Linked DNA regions of Nothobranchius furzeri. The protein of the gene in region 2 purifies or fractionates together with the protein of the main gene of each other region. This does not show direct contact. Links are inferred from orthologs where the notes say so. Each region holds a gene or a part of one and is shown on either strand. Other genes may lie near its edges. The genes, in order: drosha and ddx17.

Region 1 (3,816 bases), on a different chromosome or scaffold from region 2:
AGAGCTACACGAGCTCAGCTGTGCTCAGACTCAGCCGTTTGAGATAAAAACAACGAGGGTGAGAAAGAGCGGGGAGATAAAGTGCTGTTGGACTGACCTCCGGCGCCATCTCCTCTATGAAGTGAATGGTGTAATCTATGTTGAAGCGGATCACTCGGCACAATGGAATCTGTGATGATGAAAGGAGCAGAGGACGAGGAGAAGAAAAGGACAGAGCGTCTCATTACCACAGCGACAGGCAGAGGTTACAGCTTCTCAAGGAAACTCATTAAAACCTCATTTTCTCTGCAGAAACCACGTGCATGTATGGAAACTATATGCTAAATTGTGTAAAAACATGTAAAACCTCTGATAATACCACAAACCCACCCTCCCATGGAGCGCGCGCCTCCCCACACACACGCACACACACACACACGAGCGCCCTGGAAATTAAGCAACTCAAATCTGGCTAAAAGGATAAGCCGGCTCGTCTGTGTTTAATCTCCCCGGTTACACGGTCTTTGTTGTCGGAGCACAGGGGTTCATTCGGAGAGATTAACCTGGAGCAACGCTCCTTCCTGCCCATCTCAGCGGCTAACTAGCAGGGAGCTAATATGGCCATGCTCTCAGGTTTCTAATCCCCGTTCTGTCGCCAAACGATTGCCCCGGCTTGTAAAAAGCACCGTGGAAATTATCTGGTGTAAATCAGGCCTGATCCGCCGGGCTGCAGCGCAGATATTGATCACATTATTTAAACGGACTGGAGCACGAATCACCGCAGGTTGGGAACGTTTTCTCCAACCTGGCAAACCCCCGTCGGGTTTTCGTCTGGCTTCCTGTTAAATCGCAACCTCTTCAATGGCTGACGGACACCGAGGCCAGCCCTGTGAGAGGGAAGCACTTTGTCCAAACTACAAAGGAGTCGACCCGAAGCCGAGGGATGATTTGAAGTTGTGTTTTAGGAAAAAGGAGGTTTTCACTTAAACTCCAGCAGGAAGGACGAACATTAGCAGGCTGAGGCGTGGAGGAGGACGCCCGCCTGTGATGGTGGGTGAGAACCTGCCTGAGCAGCTGGTGGACACTTGGGCCGAGATAACAAGGCTGATGGTGGATCAGAGCATCTGTCAGGCTGATTCACACCAAGCAAGACATTATTATGCTAAAACAAGAGAAGACGAAGCATACTTTACATCGAAGGCGGTCGGCAGGTCACGCCCACTGTGACGAACCTTCGGACCGTTGGAGCGGCTAAAAAAGGACCAAAAACATAAAATCCTAACGATGGAAATCCCATAAATCACAGCTACTATAGTCAGCTGTTTCTGAACAAAGTCAAAACTACACTGAGGAGTGTTTGAAGGTCTGGTTTCCATAGAAACCGTGTAATCCTTGTTCATTTAGATATGTGATCGGCCACTCTGGCCGGGCCTTCCCACATCCGTGAAGTGAGGTACGCAGCAACCAGCCGCCGTAGTAGCAGAAGAGTGCAAGCAGCGCATTTGTTTAACGTTCCAGAAGCGTAGGGACGCGTCACTTCTGCTAAATTCACGACTCGAGTCTATTTTTTTACACGCCACGCTCAGCAGGTTAGACCGGGCCAGACAGGAAGTCAAACACTAAAGCAGTGGGAACATCTGGTGACTTTCAGATTTAAAGTCACGTGCACATTTCCAGGTCTGTACCAGTAAAAAACAATGGCGCTGACTGTGAAACCTCCGTAGCCGAAGTAAATAGGACAGAAAACAAACCAGACGCGTAGGAAGATGCTGCCATCGTTCAGACTAAAAGAACGCAGAAAGGAAACAGACGGGAAAACGAGGCACGATTCCTCCACGTCACAGCGGTAATTTGCATTCATGACCACGCCCACCTCGGCTTGGGACCGCCCACAGGAAGGAGAGAGCAGAGCGCGTCTCGGTTAGTGAAAGCTAGCCATTAGCATTAGCAACCTCACACAGTGGCAAACATGTTGACGCTTGTTTGTGGAGAGAAAAAAAAAGGAAGAGCGGAGGAAGCAGAAAATAGCTCACAAGGCATTCACTCATTCATTCTATAAACCAGACTAATCTACAGGAAATAAGCATGAATGAGAGCTTTAAGACCCTCGTGCAAGTTCTGGAGGGAACGGCGTTCCAACTTTCAGACTCACGCTAGTGAGGGGCGTGTGAGAGAAGAGAGAGAAGCCTTCAAACAGGTACTCGTGGTCGTCGTACTCGATCACCGTCGGCCGGTCCGTCTGGAAGTCAATTACAGAAAGACTCGCGTCACAAACACAGAAAAACAGCCAAACCACTCGTTTCGGTTGAGAACGGCGTCCTACCAGGAAGTTGGTGGGAGGAGACACGGTGATTCTGTAGTGGAACAGTTTCCCAGCGTTGTTGTTCATCGGACGGCACTGCCTCACGGGCTGGGGACAAAACACCAGAAAGATCCCTCATCAGTTACTGGACCCAGTAAAACCAACTAAAGAGGAAAACATGAATGTTTCTGAGGATTGTGAATGGATGAGTGGATTAAATCATGAATGTTTGTTTACTGGACATAAAACCTCAAAGTCGTTCATAAAAATGTTCTCAGTCATAAGGACACGAGTCTATTTATTAAGATATAACACCGTTTAGCTCATGACGGTGAGTTAACGGGGTGTGTGTGTGTGTGTGTGTGTGTGTGTGTGTGTGTGGGGCGTCCTTGGCCCGCCGCGGCTCAGCCTGAAGGTTATGAACGGAGGTGATTTATTCACGCCGTGTCCCACCTCCTCTCCTGGGTAGATGCTGTGGCGGATCCCGGTGCGTCTGGCCTTGGCGCTGCACTTACACAGGGGGCCATCATTCATCTGGACAGAAAGAAAATGCGTGAATCGGACAGCGCCGCTTCACCTGCCAGGTGTAACACAAAGGCCGAGGAACGCTTCACATGTCTGGACTGCAGCACGGCGACCTTTACGTCTCTTCTGCACTTTGAAGTTGGGAGTTTGAAGTTTCCCTGGCAGGTTCTGCCTTTGTTAGGAACCTCAAACAACCCAAGTTTATAGGAGAAAACCACCTTTTATCCACTCAGGCTTTAAATATTCTGAATTTAACGTGACAAACCTAATTTGGCTCCTAAATTAAATAAATCCAGACGATAAATTCAGCCCAAAACTCGGAAACTCTCCACTGAGAGCGACAGAACCCTTTGAAGGGATGGTCCTCCATAAAACTAGGTCCTAGGGTCGGGCTTATCGTCTGACCTCACGTCTGTGAGCCCAGCAGGCTTCAGGGGAGGCAAACATCCCATCAGAGCTTCGAGGACAAACATTAGGCTCTCACGCCTTCGCAGAGACTAAATTCAAGCCTCATCAAGGATTTCAAGCACCCATTCTGAACTTTTCACCACTTCATCACAAAAGCAGCGGTTGTTGAAGTAGGTGCGAAGAGTTCAGAGGTGAAGTTTGTTCTTCACACTGTTGCTAAAGTTAAACCAAGCACCTTTTAACCTCCCTGTTTCATAAAACTAAATATTATTGTGACAAAAGGGTCGATGCTACATCTCAGCACCATTACTGCACTATTTCTGCTGTTGCAAACGATGAAAACATGAATATTATTTGAGGTCGACTGTTAATGCTGAAGGTGTTGTGCCTAAAACGGTTTCCACGACTAGTTTAGGTCTGTTTCTCTGAGCAGAACAGCGGGGGAGGTCCGTGGCTGCAGACCGGAACAATGAGGATTAAGTGGGATTTAAAACATCGCTGCTGTTTTAGCAGCTGGTGGTTAGCCCGATGCTAGTTAGCATGCTGCTAAATAAGGATTTCATTCATTTAATTTGGTAACTTTAACATTAAAGAAACTAAAT
Region 2 (4,522 bases):
AATCAGGAGTGTTGGAGCAGGGCAACAACTGAAACATACTAGATACCGGCCCTCAAGGACCGGGGGTTCCCCACCACTGCTGTGCAAGCATGCAGCCACGCCTCCAGGGAACTAAAACATCAGTTGCGGATACTCAGGAGTAAAAACTGATGACGTGTTCCCAACCCTGGCCTCGGTGTAAACGAGGTGCAATTCTAACGACTGAAAACCATACCCACCACGCTCAAGATCACGAATCTGGGGCCCTTTTGGTGCTCCACCATAGACGCAGGTGCTTTTGATGCGGGATGACTTGCCGTAGTCGAAAGCGACCTGCTGAACCTGCTGGGCCAGCTCTCTAGTTGGAGCGAGGACCAGACACTGTAGGGATACAGAATGATGACCAGCTAGCTTTGTGTGCACACAAGCATTAAGATTTAGATGCAAATCTCCAGTCTGAGGTTGTGTCACGTTTGTACTCACTATAGGACCATCCCCCCTTTCCAGATAGGGCTGGTGATTAATGTGAACAATAGCTGGAAGAAGGTACTGCAAGGAACAAAAAAACAATCATGTTAAACTGTCATTGCCCATTTGTTAATGATGATAGGCTTTCAGGGATGAATTCTTACAGCCAGTGTCTTTCCAGAGCCCGTCTGAGCGATTCCCACCATGTCCTTGCCGCTCAAGGCCACAGGGAAACCCTGGGACTGGATCGCTGTGGGCTCCTTGAAGTTCTGATGCATCAGAACATCCATCACATACTCTATAGGGCAAAAGCAGGAGATTATCAGCATCAATTGAAGGTATTAACATGTTAAGCCCTTAGATGTTTTACAGAAAATTCATTGTTGATGAATTTGTTAAATATTATTTGTGTGTGCAGTATTAGGTGTGTTCCCTCACGAGGAAAATGTGCCTGGTGGAAAGCAGTTAAAGGCTTTGGGCAGCCTGAGCCTCTGACGGTGACCTCCTTCTTCCTGCGAATCTCTTCAATGTCATACTGGGATAAAGCAACAAGAAATAGAAGAAGAGACATGAAATGTGTTGTGTTCTTCTGAAACAACTGTATGCAAGAAGAAGAAACATACCTGACTCATTCGTTGGACCTCTGGGTGTTCGTTGTAGAAGTTCTTTTCAAACTTTGGCAGCTCATCCAGGTTCCATCTTTTCTTGCGAAGACGCTCACCGGGGTTACCAAACTTCATGGGTGGTGGTCCGTTGCGGCCACCCATGCCCCCTCCAAACCTTGGCCTGAGATGTTTCAAGAGGTAAAAGAAGAATCAGAGGAATTAGTACGAGGAGCAGGTTGACGGATGTCAACGCCACACTTGGGCTTCACCTGTGGTTTTTATCTTTATCTGCACCTGTAATGCTACTACTAATAATAATAATAACAAGCTTTATTTGAAGCATCGTTCTAAAACTCGAGGTCATTGTACAGTAAAAGGAAATAAAACACTCAAACAAGCACAAAAACAATACATGAGTAGTAAATATAAAACCATGATAAAACACATGATATAGTTGTATACAGTATATAATAGTGACATAGTTTGAAAGTTTTGATTAAATGACTGAATTTAAAATGTTTTTTTTTTTTTTTTTACAAAATCTAGTACAAAAAAATACAGAATAACAAATGATAAACCTTATTAGCATTATCCGCGGTAATATCCAGTAACCGTACACAATTTCTCAAAACATTCATCCTGTTTAACCCCAACACCCTCCAACCGGGGGCCTCTACAGTTTCATGTCCCAATCATCTACTACTGTCCACATACTCCAAACTAAAACCACAATCAAACAGCCCAGGTGGGAAAAAAGGCCATTTTAAATTGTAATAAATTAAGATACAATGATGTTTGAACTTTACTTTAGAAGAGCATCTGACCTTCTCTGGTGTCTGCTGGAAAAAAAAAACCTTGAACAAATGTAGTTGAGGACCCCTGGAATAAATACAACAATTGACTAAATTTCCTAAATGGAATTTGAACTCACAACCTCCATCCTGTCAGCACGTTTACACAGGGCAGCTCTTCTAAAATAAAGTTCAAGTATCATTTTATCTTAATGTATCAGAAACCAAAAATTGCTTTGTTTACTATCTAAACTATTTTGATTGTAGCTGTAGCTGTGCTCGGGGAATGCAAACAATCACTCACACTTGGGACATGAAACGCCAAAGGCCCCCATTGTTTGGGAGGCGCCAGGGCCCAAAGAAAAAAGGCCTAGGGCCTAAAGGGTTATTGGAAAAGATTCTCCAGCAGCGGTGATTTAGTCACAGGCTATGTGACCACTAGATGGCGCCAGATACAAAGAATGTCTTTCTAAACTGGTTGTTTTTCAACACCACTGAGCAATATGGGTCAGAGTTCAGAGTGAACCCTGTGTGTGTGTGTGTGTGTGTGTGTGTGTGTGTGTGTGTTTTCTGCCTGTGGAAAAATATATTTTTCCATATTTTGAGAACTTGAGTTTAGTTTAAAATCTACAGATTTGAGAGTTTATTTCCTGGTTTATTGAACACAATTTTTCAGAAACACATCTGCTTATTAAAAGCAACAAATCCGTAAACAAAGTCCAGAGGGCCTCAGTCCCAACCATGGTCCAACATCTATCTATTCACTGAGCTGCCGAGCTCCAACTTCTTCACATTTCACCGATGCCGTTGTTTAGTGGTTTTACAACGACTCGAGAGTAGGAAAACAAACCTCGTCATTGGTGAGACAGAGGAGTCAAATGAATTGAAAACAGTCTTTAGGCCCCTTTGGCGCCTTCGTGTTTAGTTTCGGGAATTTTCTCATTCTCAGTTGATCATATGATTTCACGGCAAATAGATCAAGCGTTTTGAAAATCACCAACAACAATAACTAACCTGTCTCGTCCACGGTCTCTGTCCCTGTCTCCATAAGATGAACCCCCTCTCATGTCGGCAACGCAAATATTCTTACCCGTAGTATTTTTCGCGTTAGCTGGAGTCGATTTGTTGACGTTGCGTTCAGAATTAAAGAAATGCAAATTAGATAAAGACACAAAAATTAAATCCTAGTGAACTATAATACACGAATTAGGCAATAACAACGCTACAATAACATTGTGACCAACAACAGCTATATGCGTCACGAACTAACCTAGCTTGTTTTTCTCAAACCCGATGACGTTGTTCCTGCTAGTACGTTAACGTAGCGTCGTGAGTGGTGCCGTCTCTAAAAAAGCCTTAGCACTTACGTAACCTGACTAAAAGCAATGGTGAATGCAATTAGAACAAAAAAATGGTGTCGTCGAAAACGAGAGCTTGTTTAACAACTAAAACGTAGAAAAATGTGTATTGCAACCTATAAATGAAAAAAAGCTAAACTGGACAATAGTGCGTTTAAAACATCTTTATCTGGTTCTAGTAAACAAGAAAATAAAAGGTCTGTATATCAACCAGAAGGGGGCGACATTGCACCGAGTCGTCCATGCGTTTCACGAGGAAACGAAGAAGACAACAGCTGCAGGAAGTTCAAGTCGAGATGAGACAGACAGGCGTTTGGACGTGACGTTTTTAAGTTATTGACATTTTTAAAGCATGAACTAGCTGATTATCAAGTGACGCTCGTTAAAGAAATGCCTTTGTTCATTCAGGGTAGAGAACTTGGCCGCATAAGGTCGACAGAGGAGTTGTTCAGCAAATATCCACATTTACAGGTTAGTGTGGCTATTAGCTGTTCAATAATTTTAGCAAGTAAACACTGACTTCGTCGGTTAACGCTGTTTAAGTCTTTTATATTAGACTGTACTCTTCTGAATGTCACACCATCAAGTTTTTTGCATTTGAAAGAAATCGCTGTTTTGCCTAATCATAAGAAACACGTTTTAATTAGTTTTAAATAGTACAAGTCACTAGCAAAACAATGATGCAAGCTAATAACAATGATTTCCTCTTTGTATTCAGGTAGAAAGAAGTACAAAAGTACTAAAACACTAAATATAGCCTGCCCTTTTTTCCCTTGTAAGGTCTGACTCTTCTGTTGTTCTAACCACTTTCCTCTGTTCCTCATAAGTACACAACTCACCATATCAGGTACAAGGACTGGGTAGGAAATTATAATGGGAAACACCCAAAGCCTAAAGAACTGCTTGTCAAACCCACGTCTAGAATCTCTGGGGTCAAATAAGACTGGTCAAAAACTTTTACCTGTCAGGTATGAGGCACTTAAGTTGTTGTAACGCATGATGTGTTCTTATGTTACAGGAACATGCTAGAACCTTTCGCTCCAGGCCTCTGGTTGAAGTGGACCCAAAGTGCCTCCTGTATGTTCAGCAAAGAGAGTTTGCAACAACAACTCCAGCAGACGGTAAATACAAACCTATCACAGAACGCATCAATCTGTTTGGTTACAAACTTTATGACACAATTATTTGATTTGTCTACTCAGGTGTTTCAGGTAGATATCTTTATCTATTTTTCCTGGATCTGAATGCTCATGCATTAGTCATCAAATTGTAATACAGACGATTTGGGGCAGCAGTAGCTCAGGAGGCGGGTTGCCCAGTG

Evidence for each region.
Region 1: the proteins of ddx17 (region 2) and drosha purify together in Homo sapiens (co-immunoprecipitation; 3 studies listed by IntAct, with this or other methods). This does not show direct contact. The link is inferred for Nothobranchius furzeri from reciprocal best matches to the Homo sapiens genes DDX17 and DROSHA.

The regions. Positions count from the first base shown.
Region 1 is NC_091747.1:62,198,195-62,202,010, forward strand, and holds part of drosha (ribonuclease 3), read right to left. Parts: intron 2,816-3,816; coding exon 2,735-2,815; intron 2,390-2,734; coding exon 2,303-2,389; intron 2,219-2,302; coding exon 2,132-2,218; intron 170-2,131; coding exon 98-169; intron 1-97. UniProt on the Homo sapiens protein: Ribonuclease III double-stranded (ds) RNA-specific endoribonuclease that is involved in the initial step of microRNA (miRNA) biogenesis.
Region 2 is NC_091746.1:24,951,258-24,955,779, reverse strand, and holds the start of ddx17 (probable ATP-dependent RNA helicase DDX17), read right to left. Parts: upstream 3,111-4,522; 5' UTR 2,911-3,110; coding exon 2,858-2,910; intron 1,234-2,857; coding exon 1,071-1,233; intron 983-1,070; coding exon 886-982; intron 746-885; coding exon 612-745; intron 529-611; coding exon 463-528; intron 361-462; coding exon 219-360; intron 1-218. Other genes in the region: ntan1 (protein N-terminal asparagine amidohydrolase), read left to right, coding at 3,592-3,672, 4,220-4,322. UniProt on the Homo sapiens protein: As an RNA helicase, unwinds RNA and alters RNA structures through ATP binding and hydrolysis.